Linked DNA regions of Caenorhabditis elegans. Changing the gene in region 1 together with any one later gene gives a genetic interaction. Each region holds a gene or a part of one and is shown on either strand. Other genes may lie near its edges. The genes, in order: mib-1 and lin-18.

Evidence for each region.
Region 2: of mib-1 (region 1) and lin-18, changing one enhances a phenotype caused by changing the other (phenotypic enhancement), as found in Caenorhabditis elegans (one study listed by BioGRID).

The regions. Positions count from the first base shown.
Region 1 is NC_003281.10:11,285,625-11,292,402, reverse strand, and holds mib-1 (RING-type domain-containing protein), read left to right. Parts: upstream 1-1,726; 5' UTR 1,727-1,837; coding exon 1,838-1,990; intron 1,991-2,077; coding exon 2,078-2,173; intron 2,174-2,566; coding exon 2,567-2,911; intron 2,912-3,328; coding exon 3,329-3,591; intron 3,592-3,651; coding exon 3,652-3,874; intron 3,875-3,937; coding exon 3,938-4,044; intron 4,045-4,089; coding exon 4,090-4,213; intron 4,214-4,406; coding exon 4,407-4,762; intron 4,763-4,947; coding exon 4,948-5,034; intron 5,035-5,222; coding exon 5,223-5,431; intron 5,432-5,582; coding exon 5,583-5,806; intron 5,807-5,871; coding exon 5,872-5,982; 3' UTR 5,983-6,068; downstream 6,069-6,778. Other genes in the region: smc-3 (Structural maintenance of chromosomes protein 3), read right to left, coding at 768-954, 1,007-1,239, 1,289-1,403, 1,447-1,461; gly-9 (putative N-acetylgalactosaminyltransferase 9), read left to right, coding at 6,285-6,417, 6,468-6,778.
Region 2 is NC_003284.9:3,956,783-3,962,589, reverse strand, and holds lin-18 (Inactive tyrosine-protein kinase RYK), read right to left. Parts: upstream 4,039-5,807; 5' UTR 4,031-4,038; coding exon 3,931-4,030; intron 3,750-3,930; coding exon 3,628-3,749; intron 3,573-3,627; coding exon 3,479-3,572; intron 3,428-3,478; coding exon 3,272-3,427; intron 2,440-3,271; coding exon 2,280-2,439; intron 2,233-2,279; coding exon 2,162-2,232; intron 2,117-2,161; coding exon 2,028-2,116; intron 1,961-2,027; coding exon 1,885-1,960; intron 1,837-1,884; coding exon 1,489-1,836; intron 1,442-1,488; coding exon 1,155-1,441; intron 1,105-1,154; coding exon 968-1,104; intron 918-967; coding exon 806-917; 3' UTR 683-805; downstream 1-682. Other genes in the region: C16B8.2 (uncharacterized protein), read left to right, coding at 1-243, 288-400, 467-660. UniProt on the Caenorhabditis elegans protein: Has no detectable kinase activity in vitro and is unlikely to function as a tyrosine kinase in vivo. Receptor which may act as a receptor for Wnt ligand mom-2. Plays a role in controlling P7.p vulva precursor cell lineage orientation during vulva development.

The DNA.
Region 1 (6,778 bases):
TTGAATTTTTTTTTGTAAAATTGCAGAAAAATCGATAAAATTTCAAGATTTGAGCATTTTTTCTTCAAAAATGTTAACTTTCTGATTTTTCAAATATTTTTTCTTGTAAAATTTGAGAAAAATCGATAAAATTTCACGTACCTATTTTCTTCGAACTATTTTCTTCGAAAAATTTCTTAAAACTCTTAAAAAGCTTTTTTTTTTTAGTTTTTTTAGCTAAATTTTTTTGAAATTTCTGAGCTTTTTGAATATTTTACCAGATAAATTTTTCGGTCGAAATACCAGATTTTGAGCACTTTTTGTCTTCAAAAATCTTCAAAAATCCAGTAAAATCGGTAAACTTCAAGCTTTTTTGAATGAAAATTTCAATAAATTCTGACATTTTCCAGAAAAACAAGCGATTTTTGTTGAAAATAGTCAAAATTTGGTGATTTTCGTAGCTTTTTGACAATTTGCAGTCATTTTTCAGATAGAAAATCAATATATAAAGGTGAATTTCCACTTTTTTGAATAAAAATGCACTAATTTTTGAGAGTTTTTTTTGAAAATAGTCGAAATATGCTGACTTTCGGAGTTTTTGGACAATTTCCAGTCATTTTTGCGCGACTTTGCAAAAGAAAACCAGAGTTTTGCTGAAAATGTGCAATTTTTGCATACTTAACACCAAAAACCATGAAAATTTGATGATTTTCCAGTCATTTTTCAGCAAAAAAAAATCATTTTTCTAACGTTTTCACCGAAAAAACAATTATTTTTCAGGTACGCACTGGTTTCCTTCAGGATTTTCAGACTTTCTTCCTTTCTTTCATCGTAAACTCGTGTTCCGGCGACTTCTCTCAGTAGCTTTAGCTTATAAGCGTCCGGCGAAGTGGCCAACTCGTTGATTTTTCCCTGTTTAACGATGTAATACGGGTTTGAGCGAGAAAATCCGGCGGATTCCATGAGATTTACCACCTGAAATTGAGGAAAAATCGATAAATCTCGAGGTTTTCCACAGCTGGAATACCTCGGCACGTGGCACCATTTTATTATCAATGTAATATTGATCCTTTTTCTTTCCAACTTGACGAACAATCTTCACTTCTGAATTTTCAAACGCCATTAGACGCTTTTCCGAGTTGTCAAAGGTGATTTCGACACGAGCGTGGGCGACTTTCGGTCCGGTACTCTCGTGAAGCAGACCAAGACGTTGTTCTTCTTTCAAATGAGCATATTCATCGGAAAGAACGAATTGAATCGCTGAAAATTGACATTTTTCAGCTTTTCCGCAGAAATTCATGCGGCTAACCATGGAAAAAATTGGATTTTCCCGATCCATTTCGTCCGACGACGACGTTCGAGCGTGGACTGAAGCCCGACACATTGGTGTTGTCTTTGTAGCTTCGAAAGCCGGTGATTCTCACCTGAAAATAGGGAAAAATCGATGAAAAACTTGGGAAAACTCACTTCTTTGATCTTCATCGGTTTATTGCATCAAGTGATGGGATGTTGACTGAAACATCGATAATATAGATGAGAAAATCGCAGAATTTAAGTCAAAAAAAACTTTTTGAATGAGGAAAATCGATGGAAATCGCAAAAAACACTGAAAATCAGCAAAAATAAATTTCAAATTCAAAGCGAAGAATTCGCGGGCGCGACCCGGGACTAGAAATCCCCACTCGGCCACCCGGTGTGTACTCCTCTCGGACAAGGATATTTCGAAAAATGAGGGTTTTTCCAAATAAAAACGTGTTATTCTCGGAAAAATACTAGAAAACCACGGAAAAACGTGTCTAAAACAAAAAACTAAAGCAGAATAACAAAAAATTATTTATTTCAATTATTTCTCACAAAAATGAACGGAGTAGCTGGCGAATCGCCGAGCTACGACGAGTACCTGACGTATTTCACACCGGGCGATCGAATTCTGATATCGGAAAATCATCCAAATCATGCACAACGCCTCAATTCGTACAATAATGTTGCGTGGACGAAGACACATTTGGCTGTGAGTGGCAGAAAAGAAAAAAATGCTGAAATCTGAAATTTTTTGCTGAGAATCTCTTCAAAACAGGCAAATCTTCAACATTTTCAGCTTCTCGGTCACATTGGCTATATCGAGAGCATCAACGAGCACCGGCACACTGCAAATGTTCGGGTTTACTACGCAGTTCCGCAAAATCCAGAGCTTGTAAGCTGATTTTTTGAAGATTTTGTGTAAAATGTGTGATTTTTCGGAATCTAGCGATCTTTTTTGTACTTTTTTCCATTGAAAATCGGAAAAAAAAAGTTTAAATTGCTTGGATACTACCGTAATCGTTTAAAGGCGCACACATTTTTACTGATCGCGCCAGGAGAAGTATTGCGAAAGTGGCGTGCGTCTTTAAAAGGCTACTGTAATTTTTGATTTTCAATATCGAATTTTTAAATGAAAATTGGTTGATAACGGTACAGAAACTGAAATCTTCATTGAAGATACTTAAAACTTTTCCTGAATTTTTTTGATTTCAAGCTTTCAGAGGTAACACTGAAAAAAGAGCCTTTTTCCGAATTTTTCATCCCAAATTTAAATTTAAATTTTCAGTTCAAGCTCTCTACCGAATGGCCGCTGGACGCGTTGGAATTCCCTCAATGTATAGATCATTCAAAAGGTGATCTCGTTGCAATAACCCGCGGAGATCCGGAAAAAACGACAATCGGAATAGTGGCAACGAAGGAACCATTGAATTTAGGTGGAATTCCGAAGCATTTGGTTCAACTGAAAAGCGCCTCGAATCCGACGATTACCCGGGAGATTCAGGTGGCGGTTAATGCGAATACGGGATGGACTGATGAGAGACGGGATATCTTTTTGTGTCCGGTTTATTCGGGTCCCCGATTGTCAATGATTGCTAGAGATAATAATGAGCCGTCGGTTCATACTTATAAGGTAGGTAACTTCAGGCATGTCTGCCTCCAAAACTGCCTGCCTACACGCTTATCTGATTATGTGCCTACCTAGTTGCCTACTATCGCAATAGCCTGTCAAATTGTTGTCTGATGCTGAAAATGCCTGAAAATGCGTCCGCATAAAGCTTGTCTGTCTACATATTTGCCTGATTGTTCATAGGTAAGCTTACAAACCTACATACCTACATGCCTACTTGCCTACACGCCTGCCTCCGCGACTACCTGCTTGTTTTTTTCCTGCCTTCCTACATGTTTGCCTGAAAATGCGTCTGCATAAAGCCTGTCTGTCTACATATTTGCCTGCTGGTCCATAGGTCAGCTTACATGCCTACATGCCTACCTGCCTATCTGCCTACCTACCTACATGCCTACCTGAAAGATAAATCGATTTTTTCAGCACACAATCCACGGCTACACCCCGGACACCTTAATGCAAGTGATCGCGAATTGGGGTGAAGACGCGCTGAGCTATGCGCTTCTCGTCGAATCGATCCGATCGGATCCGCAACAAGTTCGGACCCTTTTCGACGGTCAACTGCCACTTTTCCGTGCTGTCGCCGATGATCTACGGAATGTTGTTGTGATGCTTGTCGCGTTGGGTGCAGATAGAACCGCCAGAGATTCCGAGAATCGAACTATCATTCATGTGGCTGCGGAGAGGTGGGAAATCGTAAAAAAATCGATTTAAAAAAAAATTAAAAAAATCAATAATTCTTGCAGAGGTCTTGACAAAATGCTGGATACTGTAATGCTTCTTCTCCCAAAAGACATCAATTCACAAGCGGCCAACGGTCTAACACCGCTTCATTTGGCCGCCCGTCACGCCCACGCAGCTTGTATCGATCGGCTTCTCGGTACGAGTACTTGTATTCCGTGTGTTCCGAACAATTTTGGCGACACACTTTTGCATGAGGTGTGCCGGCTGCCAGAGTCTTCGAATAAGGTTTGTGTTATTGATTTTTCCGAAAACTGACCAGAAAATCGATAATCGCTAAAACAATTTCAGAAAGCGGCAATAAGTAGAATTCTGACAAATACTCGTGCGAACATTCATCACGTGAACAATAGCAATATGACACCCATCCAAATTGCAATTATGAGTGGTCATGTCAGGTAAAACCTCTATTAGAAGTGCACCACCCCCTCCAACATTTTCAGCACCGTCGAGCAGCTTCTCCTGTTGCGTGCCTCCTACCGTAATACCACCTCGAAAACTGGAATGAGCGCATTGCATTTTGCCGCTGCCTCTGGCCATGCGAATGTTGTCAATAAACTTATTTCGGTAGGTGAAAAAAATTAGTAGTGTTGGTGGCCGAGGTTTATGCAAAACTCGGCCACGTTAGTTTTTAGGATTTTTTTGCCGAAAATAATGAATTTAAGATCAAAATTTTTCTCGAAAAATTTTAATTTTTCGCCAAAATTTTTTTTCCAGAAATTTGAATTTTCCGACAACTTTTTTTAATTATTTTCTTCAGCTTGGCCTAGAAGTCCACCGTCGTGACAAGTTCGGTCGCGGAGTACTCCACTACGCCCTCGAAAAATGGACAGGAGAAGCGGAAAAAGACTGTAATCGGCTTGCAGCAATTCAGGCTCTCGTTAAAGCCGGCGCTCCATCGAATATTATCGATTTGAATGGACAGACACCGGTTTTCCAGTTGATTCGTGAAATGTTGAGCAATTCGGAGCAATATCCGGCGTCGTTGGTTCCGGTTTGTGCTCAACTTGTTCGTACGAACCTGAATCTTGATGAGATGGCAAGCCGACTTCGTCCGATGTGGCAACTTGCCACTATTTGCTTTTTGGTTGCTAATGGAGCGGATTTGAATGTCAAGTTGGTCTATTTTTTTTAAAGAAAATCGATAATTTTTCTCTTTTTCTGGGAAAATCGATATTCTTCAAGAAAGTCAATATTTCGGATAAAAATCGATATTTAAAAAAAAAATCGATTTCTCTAGAAAAATATGTTTTTCGACAAAAATCGATAGTTTTCAGAAAAATCAATAATGTCCCTTTCAGAGATCGCAGAGGGATGACCGTGATGGATTTGTGCGAAGAATCATCATTTAGATCGATTATCGTTCATATTGCACAGACTAAGCAGAGGTTGGGATTTCAGTGATGGCCGCCGAAATGAGAAAACTCGGCCACCAATTGATTTTTCGATTTTTTTTTTGAAAAGTTTCTGAAATTGATGCGTAAGGTACTATCAAATATAGAGAATCAACAAACAAAAAAAAATGGGTGGCCGAGTTTCCGAAAAAATTCGGCCATGTCGCAAAACTCAATTTCAGACAGGTGATGCCGATGATGATGGCGATGAGTGAGGATAAATTCGACTCGACAGAAGTAACAATGTGCACATTTTCATGTCTCAATTCGGTTGCCACTGTCAAATTGGACCCGTGCGGTCATCGGGTCGCTTGTGTCGATTGTACGGAGAAAGTGGCAATCCGCCGATGCCCAGTGTGTCGTCAATTTATCAACGAGGCTCATGATCAAGGTATTTGCGAGGATTTACGGGGTGTGGCCTAGAAATACCTTTTTAGAGTTTTCTAGGCCACGTTGGCAATTTGATCAATTTTGTTTTCGTGGAAAATCGATTATCGATGTATCGATTTTTCTCTGTATACTAAATATCGATGTTTAAACAGACGGAAAGCCAGTTCAAATCGGCTCCCGCTGCCATGAACCATCCGATGGCGATCGTCAACAAGTTTCGGCAGAAGTTCGCAAACAAATCGCCGACGATGCGGCGAGAGAGGCGAAAATCGAAGTGGAACGTGAAAAGCAGAATGAGTTGAATCAACTGAGAAAACGTTTGGAGCAGCTCGAGTTGGAGACGAACTGCGCGATTTGTATGGATTTGAAGATTGCGGTGAGTATGGCTTTAAACAAAAAATCAATAAATTATCGATTTTTTGAAAAATTAAATATTTTCAGGTTGTATTTAATTGTGGACATACGGCTTGTGTGGATTGTGCCGATAAACTGAAGAAGCAATGTCACATCTGCAGAAAGACTATCGAGACGATGCAGCCGATCTACTCGTGAATATCAATTTATTGCTTTTGATTGTGTATACTCCATTTCTGTGTAAATAAATAAGATTTTATTGAGAAATAAAGGGGTTTTAACTGGAAAATATGCTACAATGATTTGAATTGCCGCGCAAAAAGGCGTGGGGGCCGTGGCCGCGGGGCTCCGGAACCTCGTCCATCTCGACATTTTTGCCACGTTTTTCAATTTAATTCAATTTAAACCCAATTGTTCATGATTTTCACTCATTTTTAAGTGATTTTTACAATAAAAGTTCAAAATAACTCGAAAAACACTGAAAAATAAATATTTCCAGCATGCTTCGGTATATTATTCCTCGCAAGAAGGGCACGTTCGTCATCGCCGCCTTTCTGACCGTCGCCTTCTTCTGCATCGTAGCTTATCATCGGAACGATCGGCGACGCACGAAATTCCAGTTTCCGGATATTGGTGGGCAATTTTAGTGGAATTTTTCTATTAAAAAATCTATTTTTTTGCAGAAAAATACGCAGAAGAGCTCGTAAGGCTTCCGGAAACATGGAACGGGGAGCTCCACCAAATCCCGAACTACACAGCGCCCCGGGAAGGTCCTGGAGAGAAGGGAAAACCCGTTGTGCTCACCGGAAAAGACGCAGAGCTCGGTCAGGCCGATATGAAGAAATGGTTTATGAATGTGCATGCTTCTGATAAAATATCACTTGATCGAGACGTACCTGATCCGAGAATTCAGGCGTGTAAAGATATTAAATACGACTATGCGGCATTGCCGAAGACCTCTGTCATCATTATTTTCACTGATGAAGCGTGGACT
Region 2 (5,807 bases), on another chromosome or scaffold:
CTCCCCAGTCCCGGAGTTACCAATTGAAGATAAAATATTAACTGAACGGAAACCATGGATGATCCACCAAGGAAAACTATCCAACATTGCTCCCTTATCAAACATCAGTGGTGATATGGCATCTGACGACCCACCAGAGGTGACACCAGAGCCGGCACCTTTTCAACAGCACCAGATGGGAGTTTGGTATCCGATGAAAAAAGGAGACATTCCGCACCTGGGAATATTTAGTGGGGAGTTCAGGTATGCAAGTTTTAGCAGACCAAGTTAAATGGCATTTGTTTCAGAAGGGCTCCGTTGAAAAAAATCAGAACCGCCAGTGACATCAGGCTCTATAATGAATATACCAGAGCAAATCGTCTCAATAGACCAATTAGAATAGAAATGGATAATGCTGCTGGTAAGTAGTAGTTTTCTAGATTGTTTCTGTTACTTCACTAACTCAAATATTGAAAAAAAATTGCAGCTTACGTAAGGAACGAGTGTCAAACAGATAGCAACTGTGGTATTCAAACTGTATGCTGCACGAAGAAATGGTGCGACAGAAGTAATAATTGTGGTACCGGAAAGTTTTGTCTGACAAGTTGCTCGTCGACAAAACTTACCTTTTTACCATCTGCAAATCATGCTGAAAGCGTAATTGATATTATGTATGATTAGGTTTATATTGCAAAATTAGAATAATGTTGTTCATATTTATGTCTGTGTGTACTTATTAATTAAATGAAGAGTGGGGAACAATAAAACGAATCGGAAACGAATTTAACCCGTCAAAAGTGGATGGTTTTGCATTGCAAACAATTAATTAGATGTATTGACTGAGTTGAATGTTAAAGTCTCGAAGTCCATGAACTACCTGCTCACTGCTAGGACGATCTTCGCTGAGTACCCTCCAACAGCACAGCATGACTTCGTATCTAGAAAAATTATAATTAAAAATGAAACGTGTACTTTATTATGAACTAACAATTGATCCGGACAATTGTTCGGCTGTTGCAGACGCTTTCCTTTGAGAATCATTGTGTACACTTCCTCAGGGTCTATTTCAGCGTGTGGAGATCCTCCTAGCGACATGAGCTCCCACAGTAGAACTCCCAGTGACCACTGAAAAATTTTAATAGTGTTAAACTTGGAAATATTTATTCTCCACTCACAACATCAGCGGCCGATGAGTACAGCTCATTTGCAATAGCTTCTGGAGACATCCATTTCAATGGTCTGTTCTCATTGTCACCCAAGCAGTGATAATCAGCTGGGAACAGATCGCGGGACAGCGCCGAGTCGCATAATTGCACTTGGAGTCGCCCATTCACTTCTGCGATCAAGCAGTTTCTAGCGGCAATGTCGTTATGCACTATTCTATATTTGTGTATATGAGCTACTGCAGAAGATACTTGTGTGGCCAGAGAGACGAGTTGATGAGTTCGGAGAGTTTGAGCTCCTAAAATTGAGTTTAATTTGTGTTATGACTGTTTTATTTGAAAGTACCTTTAGTTTTATCACCATGTCGGCAGATGGTGAGGAACTTCTTCAGGTTTCCAAAGCCTTGGTGTCTGTAACAAACAAGTGGAAAATCTGTGACAGTTTCCGGGCGGTCGAATCTTCCGAAGGAAGCCACACATGCCACTTGAGACAAGTTTTGGTGAGGTGTGATGTTGTAAAATAGAAGGGCGTCGGACAAAAACCGATCCAGCTGAATTGGTGAGGCATTATTTTTCAACGTTTTGGTGTAAACAGCTTCCTGGTTACAGAATGTGTCTTCTTCGTCGTCAACATCTCCGTTCAGTACGTCATCTACTTGACGCCAAATTGCATATCTCACTTCTCCAAATGTTCCTAGAAATTGCAAAGTTAAAATTTTAAGCTAACCAGTTCCCAAATTACCCTCCATATCTAGAGGTAGAGATTGAAAAGCATCTCGATCTTGATAGAGTTGTAACAATGCACGTCTCACGTCAATCTGCAATCAACTCAAAACCTGCGTCATTCTTGACAAGATATTCTTGTCACTTTTCACAAAAACTCACGTTTCTTGGCTTGCTCGGGATTATCGAATTTCCCGACGCAGACGACGAAGAACAAGGAGCGCTTGAAATAGCGGAAAGAGTCGGAGGTCCTACAAAAGAGATGTAATTTATGATAACATCTCAAGATGGATTACCATCTCGCGGTGTGCTCAGAAGAAAAGGCTGCGCGCTTTTTGTAGATTTCAAAGAATTCCGAAAAGACGTTCTGAAAGGAAGGGGATGACAATGGGCAGAGTTGAAAATAAACCCTACGGAAGTCGAGTCGGAATCATGTCTTCTTTTTTAGAGCGCTTGAAATAACAGATCAACGTTGCTGCCACAATAAGTAGGAATGCCGCAGCAATGCAAATGATAACAAAAAATGCCTTGTCTATTGAGTCAGTGTCGTCGACTTCATGACCCTCGTAGCCTCCTGGAAATATAAGAATTTGGAATTTGATAATTCCAAAGGGTGATATAATTGCTAATAAAAATTGTATTTACCTTTATTTGTTAAATAAACAGTGTTTCACTAATTCACTGACCACAAACTGAAACCACTTCACCCCAGCATTTGAAACCAGACATGGAAAGCTTATGCTAAGATAGGTGAAGCTCCCACTTTTTAAACTCGCAAGTTTTAACATTCATACTTCAGTCTACCTTTCCACTACTTTCGGGGCATTTCGAGTTTTTGAAAAAGTTGTTTTTGCTAAATTTGGTACTTCTGTATTACATGCCATTATATTAAAATAAAAATCAATGCTTATCAATATGTACATTCAAATAAAACGTGATATGCATTTTTCCTCTTTTTTCAGACAACTTGGTATGGGAAATCATACACGAGGTTAATCTAGCAATGAAGTAATTTAGGAAAACTAAAATCCAAAACTCCGATGGATTTCAATTTGTTTCATAGAAGTCCCTCCTTAGAAAAAATGCTTAAATTTATACCCAAAATTGGTATTCTATTCCGAAATCCAGTTCATTCACCCCAGAATGACAATTATTCTTCTCCATTTGAAGCGTTTTTCTCTCCTTTTTCCTATTTTTCGAATAATCGGTGGACCTTTTTCTCTTTCAATTCAACTCATTTATTTTCGTCTACCGCCGCTTCTGTGACAATCAAACAGCTGCACTATAGAGAAGAGCGTGTCATTCAATCATTCCGAGCCTCTCTTCAAGTTTTTGGGCATCAATGTGCACATTTGTCATAGAGGATGTCGTCGCCCAACTATTAGAGCATAACAACTTTTGCTTACCGTTCAGACCTCGACGTCCGTCCCTTGAAGCGCAGATCTTCTCCTGTCGCAATTTCACTTTCAACGGCTCCTTATTACCATATTTGAATGTGAAATATAGACTGACAGCAAATTGTCCGGATCGGTGTCCGGCACATCTGTATTCAACGGTGAAGTCTGTAAGAAACAATAAATTATCATTTGAAAAATGTTTCGCGAAATGAATACCCTGCAAAGATTCTGGCACCGTTCCTTTCAATGGAATTCGAACAATAGGAAGCACAGAAGAGTCATCAGATTCGACGTAAACTTCATAGTGTACCTGTTTACAAAATAAGTCTCATTATTTAGATTTTAATAATGTATGTTTTTATTACAATTCCAACAGCATTCCATGTGAACGAGAGGTAGTCGATGTTTGCCATAACTCTGTAGTGAAACTTTGTAGAGTACGAGCTAACATTCCCCATTTCAATGTAATTCAGCTCAGCTTTGACACCTGTAATAAATTATTTTAGGCCATAGCTTAAATGTTGGAATTTCAATAATCTTTTCCAAAATTTTTCAACATTTTTTTGAATGTTTTATTCTGATATTAGGTCACTTTAGAACCAAATAAATATTTTTCATATATTCCCCCACTGACCGCACTCAACCTTTAACAGATAACTATTTCTTACCAAAAGTACGATTCATTTCCTCTTTGCTGATGAACATATTCACATTGGCCAGGCAGAGTGCCCATAACTGCGCGAAAAAAATCAGGTAGCGAAGAATCATCCCATTCGCTGCAAAAAATGAAACAGTTTTCGAATTTTTCAATTCGCAACATTGAGGAATCTGGAGATGAAAGAAAGGAGGCAAATTAATTCATCGAGTGTTCAAAAGCGAAACGAAAGTGATGAATGATAGAGAAGAAAGACACCTGAATACGCGTCGACAACTGACGGCGGTGTTCTTCTCAAAAATAGAGGTCAACAAAATGCAACATTTTGGATAACAAATGAAACAAATTGGTTGAAATTAAATTCCGATATTTGGTATATATGTAGACAAAAGTTCAGAAATAGAATTTTTGAAAGGTGATAGTCCCGCCCACTGGGACGTCTTTGTTTTTTTGGAGGAATTTCCTATCAAAGAGTTAGCTTCAAAGAACTTGCACGTTAATCTAGGGATGCCAATTTGGCGAAATGCGATCTTCTTCATTCACTTCCTTTTAAATGTCTTTATTTCACTCTCTCTCTCACAGCTCTTTCTCTCCACTCATTCTGACTCAATTCAGTCCAGGAGTGGCACCCAATCACGCCGGGGAAACAAAACAGCGTTGTAGCAATAAAAGGATGACCAATGAGAAATAGAAAAAATTGACAGAAATACAAATATACAACACATCTACAACCACGTCTTCTTTTATTTTGGAGATCTTTTTTGTCCTGTGAATGGAGTATCTATAGAAAGATGGGTGAATGTGTGTGTGTGTGTGTGTGTGTGTGTGTGGATGTCGGGATGTGTGCTTTTCAAATTGGGTTAGTGCAAGCCGCTTTATGTACAATGGCACCAAACAAAAATTACATTAGGAAAGAAGAAAAGGGTGGGAGGGGTAGCAACAAAAAAAACATGAGAAGGAAAAAAAGGGCAAAGGACTGCGGATGACGCAACTGTTAGAACTTTTTTTCTGTGAAAAAGTATTTGCAAACTCGGTTGCGCAAGACATTCTAGCGGTAATTTGCAACGATTGAACGTGAAAATGGGAATAGTGGTTTCGGAGCATTTATTTTGTCAAAAGAAGGAGTGAAAATTCTGGGTATTTTAAAGGTATACACCTAAAATAATCTCAAATATACAAATTTCCTAGCCCAAAAAAACAATTTTTAGAAAAACATTTTTTTTTTGTTTTTAGTGGCCTAGCTAAAATCCCCAATTTCGGCAACTGAAAGTGGCCAAAACGGGAGAGTTTAGCTAAAACTAGGCAATTGTTTTTTGAAGTTGTCAACGGCCATTTAAAAAAATAAGTAAAATTTTAAAGTTTTATTTTCAGATATTTATAATGAAAATAGTTTATTTAATCACATGTTCGAAACAAATTAGCTGGAAATATTACTCTTTCTTTAAAGAAAAAACGTATAACTCAGTCAGCACAATTAGAATTCGTGTAAGTTTCAATTATTTAACGCAGCTATAAAACAGTATGGTATTATTTATTTCAAATTAAAAACAACATTCAATGTTTTAACGAGAGTATTAACAAAATCTACTTCCTCAATAAATTTGCCTAAAAACCATGAGCTGCTGGCAAATAATTGTTGATTGGCCACTATCATATGGGGCAACGAGTACTCAATGGGAAAGAAACGGGAAAAGGAGGCGGAGGATCACTTTTCGGCGGCCGCGGGAGGCCACTCATTGTGCGGGGTGCCAAAATAATCCAAGTTTATCTTTTGAAATGGTTGGTGCTTGAGGCGGTGGGGGAAGAAGAATGGCAGGCGTTTTAATCTCAAGCCCAAGCTGTCACAAAATGATTTCCGCTCATGGAGCTCCATTTTTGGGCGGCGTACAA